2 linked regions of the Rattus norvegicus genome follow. The protein of the gene in region 1 purifies or fractionates together with the protein of each later gene. This does not show direct contact. Links are inferred from orthologs where the notes say so. Each region holds a gene or a part of one and is shown on either strand. Other genes may lie near its edges.

Region 1 (4,074 bases):
GCTATGGTCTTAAAGGCATATACTGACTCTCCTAGCTCCTGACCATCTTTTAAATCAAGTTTTGTAGTAATAACTCATGTCATTTCTGATCATTAGTGATTCATGCTGTTATCTTGTTAATCTGCTTAAGTCAAAAATGGAAAAGGTTCAAGAACCATCAACAGACCTGGTTTTTTCCAGCATGCTCCATGATTTTCTCATAGACTATTTCATTCATGATCTGGAAACGTTTGATAGCTTTTTTCTCTGTGATGCCCACATATGTTTGTTCCAGAGGCACTGGGCGGAAGCTAGAAGTTCAACAGTTATACAAATGAGATTTCTGCAGAGAACACTGTGGAGAAAGTTACTTTCCATTGAAACAATAATACTTTCTAAAATACACACAAGAACCGTAAAACTCATTAGTGTGCTCCTTAGAGAAGGGTAATGGACAGGAAGACTGCCTTGGTAACAAGTTTCCAGTTTCTTTTTATACCTGTTGTCAAAGTAGAAGAGGCCCTTAGCAGGGTCGACGCGCAGAAAGGTGGCCACATCTTCATAGTTGGGGAGGGTAGCGCTGAGACCAATGAGTCGGACATCTTCTTGGGTCATCTCAATGTTTCGGATGGCCCTGGCCACCAAAGCTTCTAAGACAGGACCTCTGTCATCATGTAGAAGATGGATCTCATCCTAAGGAACAGAAAGATGGGGGTTGGGGATTTAGCTCAGCGGTAGAGCGCTTGCCTAGCGAGCGCAAGGCCCTGGGTTCGGTCCCCAGCTCCGGAAAAAAAGAAAAAAAAAGAAAGGAACAGAAAGATGCAAACTGTACCTCCTCCCCCCCTGAGACTAGTCCACGGTACACGTATACATCTTAAGATGCCTAATGAGGACAAGAGAGGGAGTCTTAAGCCAGAGACCTGAAGAACAAAGCAGCTTTTAGTAGGAATTTACACTGAGTGCAGACTGCTTAGCACTTGTGCATGAATCCTCCACTCTACCACAAATCTCCTTACAAATACATGACGGCTCTGACCGGTTCTCCCAGGTTCATGACACAGCTAGAGTGCCAAACCGTCCCTCTGGGCAGGTTTCTTCATCAAGATCAAAAACTACCAGGCTTTACTGACAATAAGTTTACAGTGCCAACAGCAGTGCCTCTGAGATACAGTAAGCACTGAAGATCTGGAGACACTGTAAAAGTGAAGATGGAATTCAAAGGTGTAGGCAGGCCAGGGACTCAGCACCCCTAGGAGCAGTTGTGGGAGAGACATGAAGTACCATAAAAAGGAGGTTGGCAAACTTCTCTTAAAGTTCTGAACATCTGGTGTTGCACCTGCAATACTGTAGGCTCATGAGCCATGTAACCCTTGCCACAAATACTCAATTCTGCCACAGCCACAGCAAGACAAAAATAGCTATAAAAAGTACACAAACCAATGTACATAACTGTGTTCAATAAAACAAAAACTTAAGGCCACAGTTTTCCCAACTTCCACTTTGAACACAGAACATGAACTCCTTTCTTAGACACCTTAACGCATCAACCCTCAGAAGCTAGTGACAGCTCAAAGGGCAAAGCACTTTTTATTACCAACCCTGATGGCTTGAGCTTGACTCACAGAACATGCATGGTGGAAGGGGAATTGACTTTCACAAGTTTTCCTCTGCCCTCCACATACACACACACTATGCAAATCACAGAAAATAAACAAATGCAATTAATGAAAAACAACAACAACAACAACAACAACAACAAAACAGACTCAACCCTCAGCTCAAAGTCCAATCCCTGTGGATACTTCCACATAACCGAATGCAAAGTCCCACTTCCTACCTGTCCTTTGTGACAATGGATTATTTATAAAGAAACATTTCAATGTTCTTGGAGGACAGAATTATTTTTGTGTTCCCATTTGATTCAAAATATTTCATATTCTATAGAACAAGTTCTAAGATAGCCGGGAAATACATAAGTCTTTCCCAAAAAGCCAAATTAAAAAAAAAAAAAGCTATAAAGAGGATGAGGCACATGGCAAACACCAGGCATGACTGGGCAGCCTTTGTTACATGCAGATTCAGGTTTTAATGGCAACAATGAAGCTCACAATGACTCTTGCAAAGAAAGTCATATAGAAGGGCCTTAAGGAAAGCTGGGCATGGGAACCTCATCTAGTGCTTTAATCCAGCACTTGGGAGGCAGAGGCATGTGGCTCTCTGTGAGTTCGAGGCCAGCCTGGTCTACAAAGACAATTCCAGGACGGCCATGGCTACAGAGAAACCCTGTCTCAAACAAGAAAACTAAAAACCAAACCACCCCACCACCCCCCACCTCCCTTGTTATAATACAGTCCAAGAATAGTTGTGTGACAGTTCTGAGTGCGCCAGAGTGTTATGATCATTGTTCCTGGAACATGTTTCCATGCTCCTCCCAGGTATAGTGGATAGAAATGAGTTTATATTACTATTGTTATTCATATGCTTCTATGGTAAAACATGGTTTTGCCATGTGTGGCCTTGTCCTTATAACTGAACACCTTACTCATGTGATTCTTCTTAATCCTCACAGTATAAATTGCCCGATGCTCTGGAATACAGCTGGCTACTTTAGTCTGTCTCATGTTTAGGCCCCGCTCCCCCAGGTTCACACCACCAACTAGAGTGACCGCCAAGCGCTCCTAACCACATTGTTCTCTCCTTCCCACGTCTCTCCCCACTCACCAAGACAATGAGCCGCACCAGCTGGGTGTAGGTGCGCTCCCCGCCCTTGCGTGTGATGATGTCCCACTTCTCAGGGGTGCAGACAATGATCTGTGTGGCACTGATTTCTTCCTTGCATAGTTGATGATCCCCAGTCAGCTCAGCAACAGTAATGCCATATGTGGCCAGGCGCTGGGGAAAGAAAGGATCACCAGCAAAAATGAGTGACAGGGCTGGAGGTGCGGCTCAGTGGAGGGAGCTTGCCTAAGGTCTAAGAATGGGGGACGGTGCCTGAAGGGCCTGGTGGCCGTTACTGTGCTGTAGACAAGGAGACGTTACATATCTGGTGAGTCAGGAAAGATGAACAAACGTTACTTAAATTCCACGCGGCTAGATGAGGCAAAGACTATGAAAGCCCTACGTACAGCAGGAAAGTGGACACACATAGGAAAGTGGAACTAGAGCAACAACCCACAAGCTATCAACCACATTCATTTGACAGAAATACCGTAAGATGCAGCGACACCATTTTTGTTTAAGAAATTACGTGGGTCAAATTCTACCTTGGAAATGGCAAAAAATATCTTGAGATTCCCTCACAAAAGCAGCGGTAATGCATAGGCCCCTCCCTACCACATGGAAGCTGCAGCAGGATCCTCTGGAGAAGACTCACCTTTCCAAAGCTGCCCACCATCTCCTGTACCAGGGACCGCATAGGAGCTATGTAGATGATCTTGAAGTCATCCACGTTGATAGTGCCATCCATGTTGATGTGTTTTCCTATCTCTCGGAGCATACACATCAGAGCCACATTGGTCTTGCCGGCACCCTACAGAGGGGTCAGTGACAAAAACTGTTTATCTGCTAGGGATATCACCAAAACAGAACTGACCCCAGGACTGCCCATGTAACACTGACCCAGTGGGTTGTTACAGAACAGAGAATCCCAGCACTTGGGAGGCAGAGGCAGGCAGATCTCTTGAGTTTAAGGGTTATTGTGATTTCCAGGACAGCCAAGGCTACATAGAGACTCTGACTCAACCAAAAAAGGTAAGGCCTAGTATAAAGATTAGGATTCAACTTGCCACCAAATCACTGCAGGAGAAAAAAGGAGACAGGCCAGTACTCACAGTAGGAGCACACAGCAGCAGATTCTCATCTGTCTCCAGGGCAGCACGGTAGAGTTTACTCTGGATCCGGTTCAGCGTTTTGAAGCCCTCAAATCCTGCCTGGGCATACTTTGGCAGCTTCTCCACTGGGAGCAGTTGCTAAGGGAAGAAACATCCCATACTTTATGCAACTGGATTCTTCAGCAGGTTGCCCATCCTTATAAGATTACTATGATTTCACTTTGATTTCCCCATGACTTCATTCCCTGACAATCACCATTCATAA
Region 2 (4,822 bases), on another chromosome or scaffold:
CTAGTCCAACTAACTATGTCTGCTAGACATAAAAAAAATTAAGTCTTTTTAAAGGTCCTTTTTAAAAAACAAACATAGAAACAATCTTTGGTATTTACCCAAAGCATCAATTGCTGGGCATGGTGGCACACACCTTTATCCCTGCACTGAGAGGCAGTGGCAAACTGATCTCTGAGTTGGGAGTCCAGTCAGGCCTACAGAAAAAGCTCAGGACAAAAGAACATCAATCTAAATGCCTGTAGACATTTGACATTTGTCATGATATAGGTAACATGGTTGTAAGGTACAGTACCAAAGCTACCTAGTTCCTTCCCATAGCCAAGAACCCTGTCACAGAGGGCCAAATGTTAGAAATATGTCTGAAAGGATGGTGGGCAGGGCAGACCTCCAAAGCAAGACGATCTGTAACACCATGGCAAGTCATAAAATCCTCTCCAGGCTCTCATTAAATGCTAATTGGCACATGATCTGCAAAAAGGGTGCCACTGAGCTGTACCCATTAAAGTAAATGTTTATTGGATAATAACATTTCTCAAGTGGCATGTAGACAAATATTACTGAAGAATCACCTTTCTGTTATCTAGTAAATTCTACTTTTCCTACTTAATGTCAGAATGTTCTTCCTGAGACATCTGGCTATATGGCAGTGTTTCTTAGGTCTGCTCTGAAGGTGGGCATGACAAACTTTCTGCATAAGAGAACTGACTCCAAGGAGCTCAAGTGACTCATATGTACTCAGCAAGTACAGAGCCAACCCCTAGCTCCTAGCCTCAAGCACTGCAGGACGCACTGCTCAGCCCCAGCAAACACTATCCTCTTTAAAAACCACTTTATTTTTACATTTGTTTATTTAGATGAGGATGTATATGTATCACTGTGCATGTAGAGATCAGAGGACAACATGCTAAAGCATATCCTCTCCTTCATTGTGGATTCTAGGACCAGAACTCAGATTTCTTGGCAACAATCACTTTTCACTGCTAAGTCATGTCGTGTATGCAACCCTGTCCTCTTAATGACAAACACAGACATTTACTGCCTTATCCCAAATCCTTTAACAGACATTCTGTGACTCAGCTCTCCACTGGTTTCATCTTACTGCTACCTCTTGCTAAAGCTAAAGCTAACCTAATGCATTACATATGATGTTTTCTGGGTTAGTGGTAGAGACCTAGAACTCTGGCTCTTTGAGCAGAGTAAGCGTAAGTTCAAGGCTGGCCTTAGTGACAAAGGGAAATCTACAAGACCAGCCAAGACTCCACGAAAGACTGTAACCACTCCCCCACCCCACCCCCAACTCCCCTCCCGCAGGACAAAACAACAACCCAGACAGGGTGGAGATACACTTGCCAATGTAACCAATCTAGCCAATAAACTTGGGCAAGGGACTACCATATCCATACAAAAGATATTAACTCTGTGAGGAAATGAACCACTCCTGGAAGCAATACCTGCAGCATTTACAAGACTGAGGAAGAGGACTGCTATAAGGTCAAGGCCACACTGAGCTCTACACACACACACACACACACACACACACACACACACACACACACACAGCAAAATCCTGTCTCAAAACTCAACCAAAAGATGATAGTTCTTCAGGTTAAAGCTCTTGCCATCAAGTCTGAAAACCTCAGCTCCTGGACACACAAGGTGGAGAGAATGGGCTCTTGCAAGTTGTCCTCTGATGTTCACCGGTTTGCACATACACACCCACACATATACAAAAGTGTAATAAAAAAATTAAAACGCGGGCTGGAGAGATGGCTCAGCAGTTAAGAGCACTGACTGCTCTTCCAGAGGTCCTGAGTTAAAATCCCAGCAACCACATGGTGGCTCACAATCATCTGTAATGGGATCTGATGCCCTCTTCTGGTGTATCTGAAGACAGTGACAATGTACTCATATACACAAAATTAATAAATCTTTAAAAAAAATTAAAACGCACACAAAAGCACGAAACAATATAAGAAACAGTACAAGTCACACGCACGCACCACACAACTAAAAAGGTTTTGAAGCTGAATGCCTCAAGGTAGCCCGCCCCCACCCAGAAGCCGAACACTCCCAATGTGCTCACCTCAAACTCTCGGATATATGGTGCAATGCCACAGTAAGGTTGGTTATGGTGTTTTTCATGTGGCAGCTTTTCCAGGGGTGGCAGGTATGGGATGGGGTCTCGGGGTGCAAAAAGGGCCAGAAGGTTGGGAGGCAGAAACTGTGTCATCTTCCCAAATCTAAGACCAGAAACGTTATGTTAGCAATCTTTATTTAGAACAGGTTTCTTCTAGGACCCCTCCACTCAAAAAACAAAACAAAACAAAACAAACAAAACAGGCGTGAGATTTCCTGGATGCTGCTATCCCCTGCCTGAAAAAAGGCCTTGGCAGGAGCTAAAAAAAGGAAAGGCTAATAACACAGAAAACAAAGAGGAAAAGGAGTCAGGAGGTGTGGGGCCCAGGGATCCTGAAGCCTCGAGCTCTAGAGGTTGCTCGCTTCATACCTTCAAGATTACGAAGTAGGGGTTTCAAGGTAGGCCATAAGGATAATATCCCGTAAGCCAGGGGGCCTCTGCGTAAAATATCTAGGATGCCAGAGACGAAAGGAATTATGGGTAGAGGTCCAGGATGCGACCAAAAAAAAAAAAAAAGGCGAGGAAAAAAAGCAACACACAAACCGCAAGGGCCTGTGGGTAGGGGACCGCAGGAGATTGGGGGAGGGGGGACTCTGAGGGAAAGAGAGCCTGAGTGCCCAGAGAACTCTGGGTAAAGGATGGGGAACGCAGGGGGTAAAGTCTAAGGCACTGACCCGGGAAGCGGGCCACAGCCCCGGGGAAAGGGTTCGGGGCCCCGCAAGGGTTTGTGGGTAGCGGCCCCACACCCCGTTAAGGCCACTCATTCACCCACTCACTCACCGCGCGGCGCTCTTCTCGGCCTGACGTTAGTCTCAGGCCTCGCGGCCGCCGTTCACAAACAAAAACTCCCGCTCTGGCTTCCACTTCGGCGGTGCCCGCGTCAGGTATCCACTGTGGTCCGCGCAGCGCGCGCAAACCAGGCCTCTCCTCGCAACCCGCGCGGCCTCAGCTCGCGATCAGAACCGGGAGTGAATGCGACTCGAATCCCTCCGCCTTTCTCACTGCGCATGTGTTATAGGAACCGAAAGAAACCCTCACACAAGTCCGGCCACACCGCGGGCACTGCGCACGCGCAAAAGCTATAGGCCGCCTTAAATGCCTAAGCTTCCGCGGCCCAGCGACCTTATTACGCATGCGTTATCGGACCTAAGTCAGTCTCAACCTCGCGCTCTAGCTAACCGCCTATGACCGCGAGACACTTACAGATGTTCCACCCTTTTTCCTTACACTTCCCGGACCTTCGACGCATGCGTCTAGGTAATGCACGTGCACATATCCTTCCGCAGTCTGTCAAAGAGTGCGTACCTGAACAGGGTCTTTGCAGTTATGTTATTTAAGAGAGAACTCTTTCCCAAATTTCTCGTATGTGCTAGCCACTATTTGGTCTGGGGGACGCAGATCATGACAAAATACTCTTCTCCTTCCTGGAGTTCACATTGTTGAGAGAAAAGATCCATCCGTTTGGTATTTTTTTTCCTTTTTAATGTGTTCTGTTTTTTTTTTTCAGACAAGGTTTCACCATATAACCCAAGATGATTTTGCATTTTGTATCAGTGTGTGTTATTTATCTATATATGTTTATATATACATACATACGCGATAATATGTGTATATATATTTTCTTGATGGGTGTTCTTGTGTTTGTTTTTGGTTTTTGTTTTTCGACACAGGGTTTCTCCGTGTAGCCCTGGCTGCCCTGGAACTCACTGTGTAGACTAGGCTGGCCTCAAACTCACCCACCTACCTCTTGCCTCCTCAGTGCTGGGACCAAGGCACAAAACACACAATTCCAGGTTTTTTCTTCTACATCTTCTCCTTCTCCATTTTCTTCTTTCTTTCTTCCCTCCTTCCTTCTTCTGTTTCTTTCTTCATTTGAGGCAATGACGGATCTGGAGCGATGACTCAGCAGTTAAACACAACTGACTGCTCCATCCAGAGGTCCTGAATTCAATTCTCTGCAGTCACCCTGACCTTCAGCTCTTGGCAATCCCCCTGACTCAGCTGTCTATGTGCTGGGTTTACAGCTTGCAACTACCCAGGGTTTGTAGTTTAAAGGCTAGCCTGTGCTACAGAGAAGCCGCTCTCAAGAAAACAAGGAAAAGAGCTGGGGAGATAGCTTATTTAGGTGCTTGCTGCACAGGCATGAAGACCCGAGTTCCACACCCACACACCTCTGCACCCAGGAAAAAGCCCCAGCACTGAGGTGGAGAGGGGAGGATTCCAGGGCTCAGTTGCCAATTCCAGGTGTAGTGAAAGGTACTGTCTGGATAATTACGGTGAACAGTGACTGAGGAAAACCAAAAACCTGGTGGGGTTGACCTCTGGCCTCCACCCACTCCAACATGCAGTGCTTGGCTGTACACAACTTTAGTCCCAGCATTTTGGAGGCAGAAGCAGGTGGATCTCTGGAATTTGAGGCCAGCCTGGGCTACATATGGAGTTCCAGGTCTAGATGTAGATCTTTATCTACATGATAGAGAGACCAAATTCAAACACACACACACAGTTACAAGGGTAACCCAGCAACCCAAGATGGTATTGAACACCTTATGCAGTGAAAGATGTGTTGGCATTTTGTCTAGGCTCTGCCCCACAGTTACCTGGCAACAGCAGGTGTGCCTGACTCACTGTAAAAGGGGCTGCTTGCCCCCTCCTCACTCTTTCTTGTCTTCTTGCTCCTGCTGT

What was found. Proteins that work in one complex are often made in the same cells at the same time.
Region 2: the proteins of Snrnp200 (region 1) and Snrnp70 fractionate together in Homo sapiens (co-fractionation; 3 studies listed by BioGRID, with this or other methods). This does not show direct contact. The link is inferred for Rattus norvegicus from reciprocal best matches to the Homo sapiens genes SNRNP200 and SNRNP70.

Annotation. Positions count from the first base shown.
Region 1 is NC_086021.1:134,892,005-134,896,078, reverse strand, and holds part of Snrnp200 (U5 small nuclear ribonucleoprotein 200 kDa helicase), read right to left. Parts: intron 3,948-4,074; coding exon 3,810-3,947; intron 3,509-3,809; coding exon 3,353-3,508; intron 2,872-3,352; coding exon 2,701-2,871; intron 673-2,700; coding exon 479-672; intron 291-478; coding exon 167-290; intron 1-166. UniProt on the Homo sapiens protein: Catalyzes the ATP-dependent unwinding of U4/U6 RNA duplices, an essential step in the assembly of a catalytically active spliceosome. Plays a role in pre-mRNA splicing as a core component of precatalytic, catalytic and postcatalytic spliceosomal complexes.
Region 2 is NC_086019.1:105,009,751-105,014,572, forward strand, and holds the start of Snrnp70 (U1 small nuclear ribonucleoprotein 70 kDa), read right to left. Parts: upstream 3,102-4,822; 5' UTR 2,918-3,101; intron 2,829-2,917; exon of another isoform or gene 2,507-2,828; intron 2,241-2,506; 5' UTR 2,231-2,240; coding exon 2,084-2,230; intron 1-2,083. UniProt on the Homo sapiens protein: Component of the spliceosomal U1 snRNP, which is essential for recognition of the pre-mRNA 5' splice-site and the subsequent assembly of the spliceosome. SNRNP70 binds to the loop I region of U1-snRNA.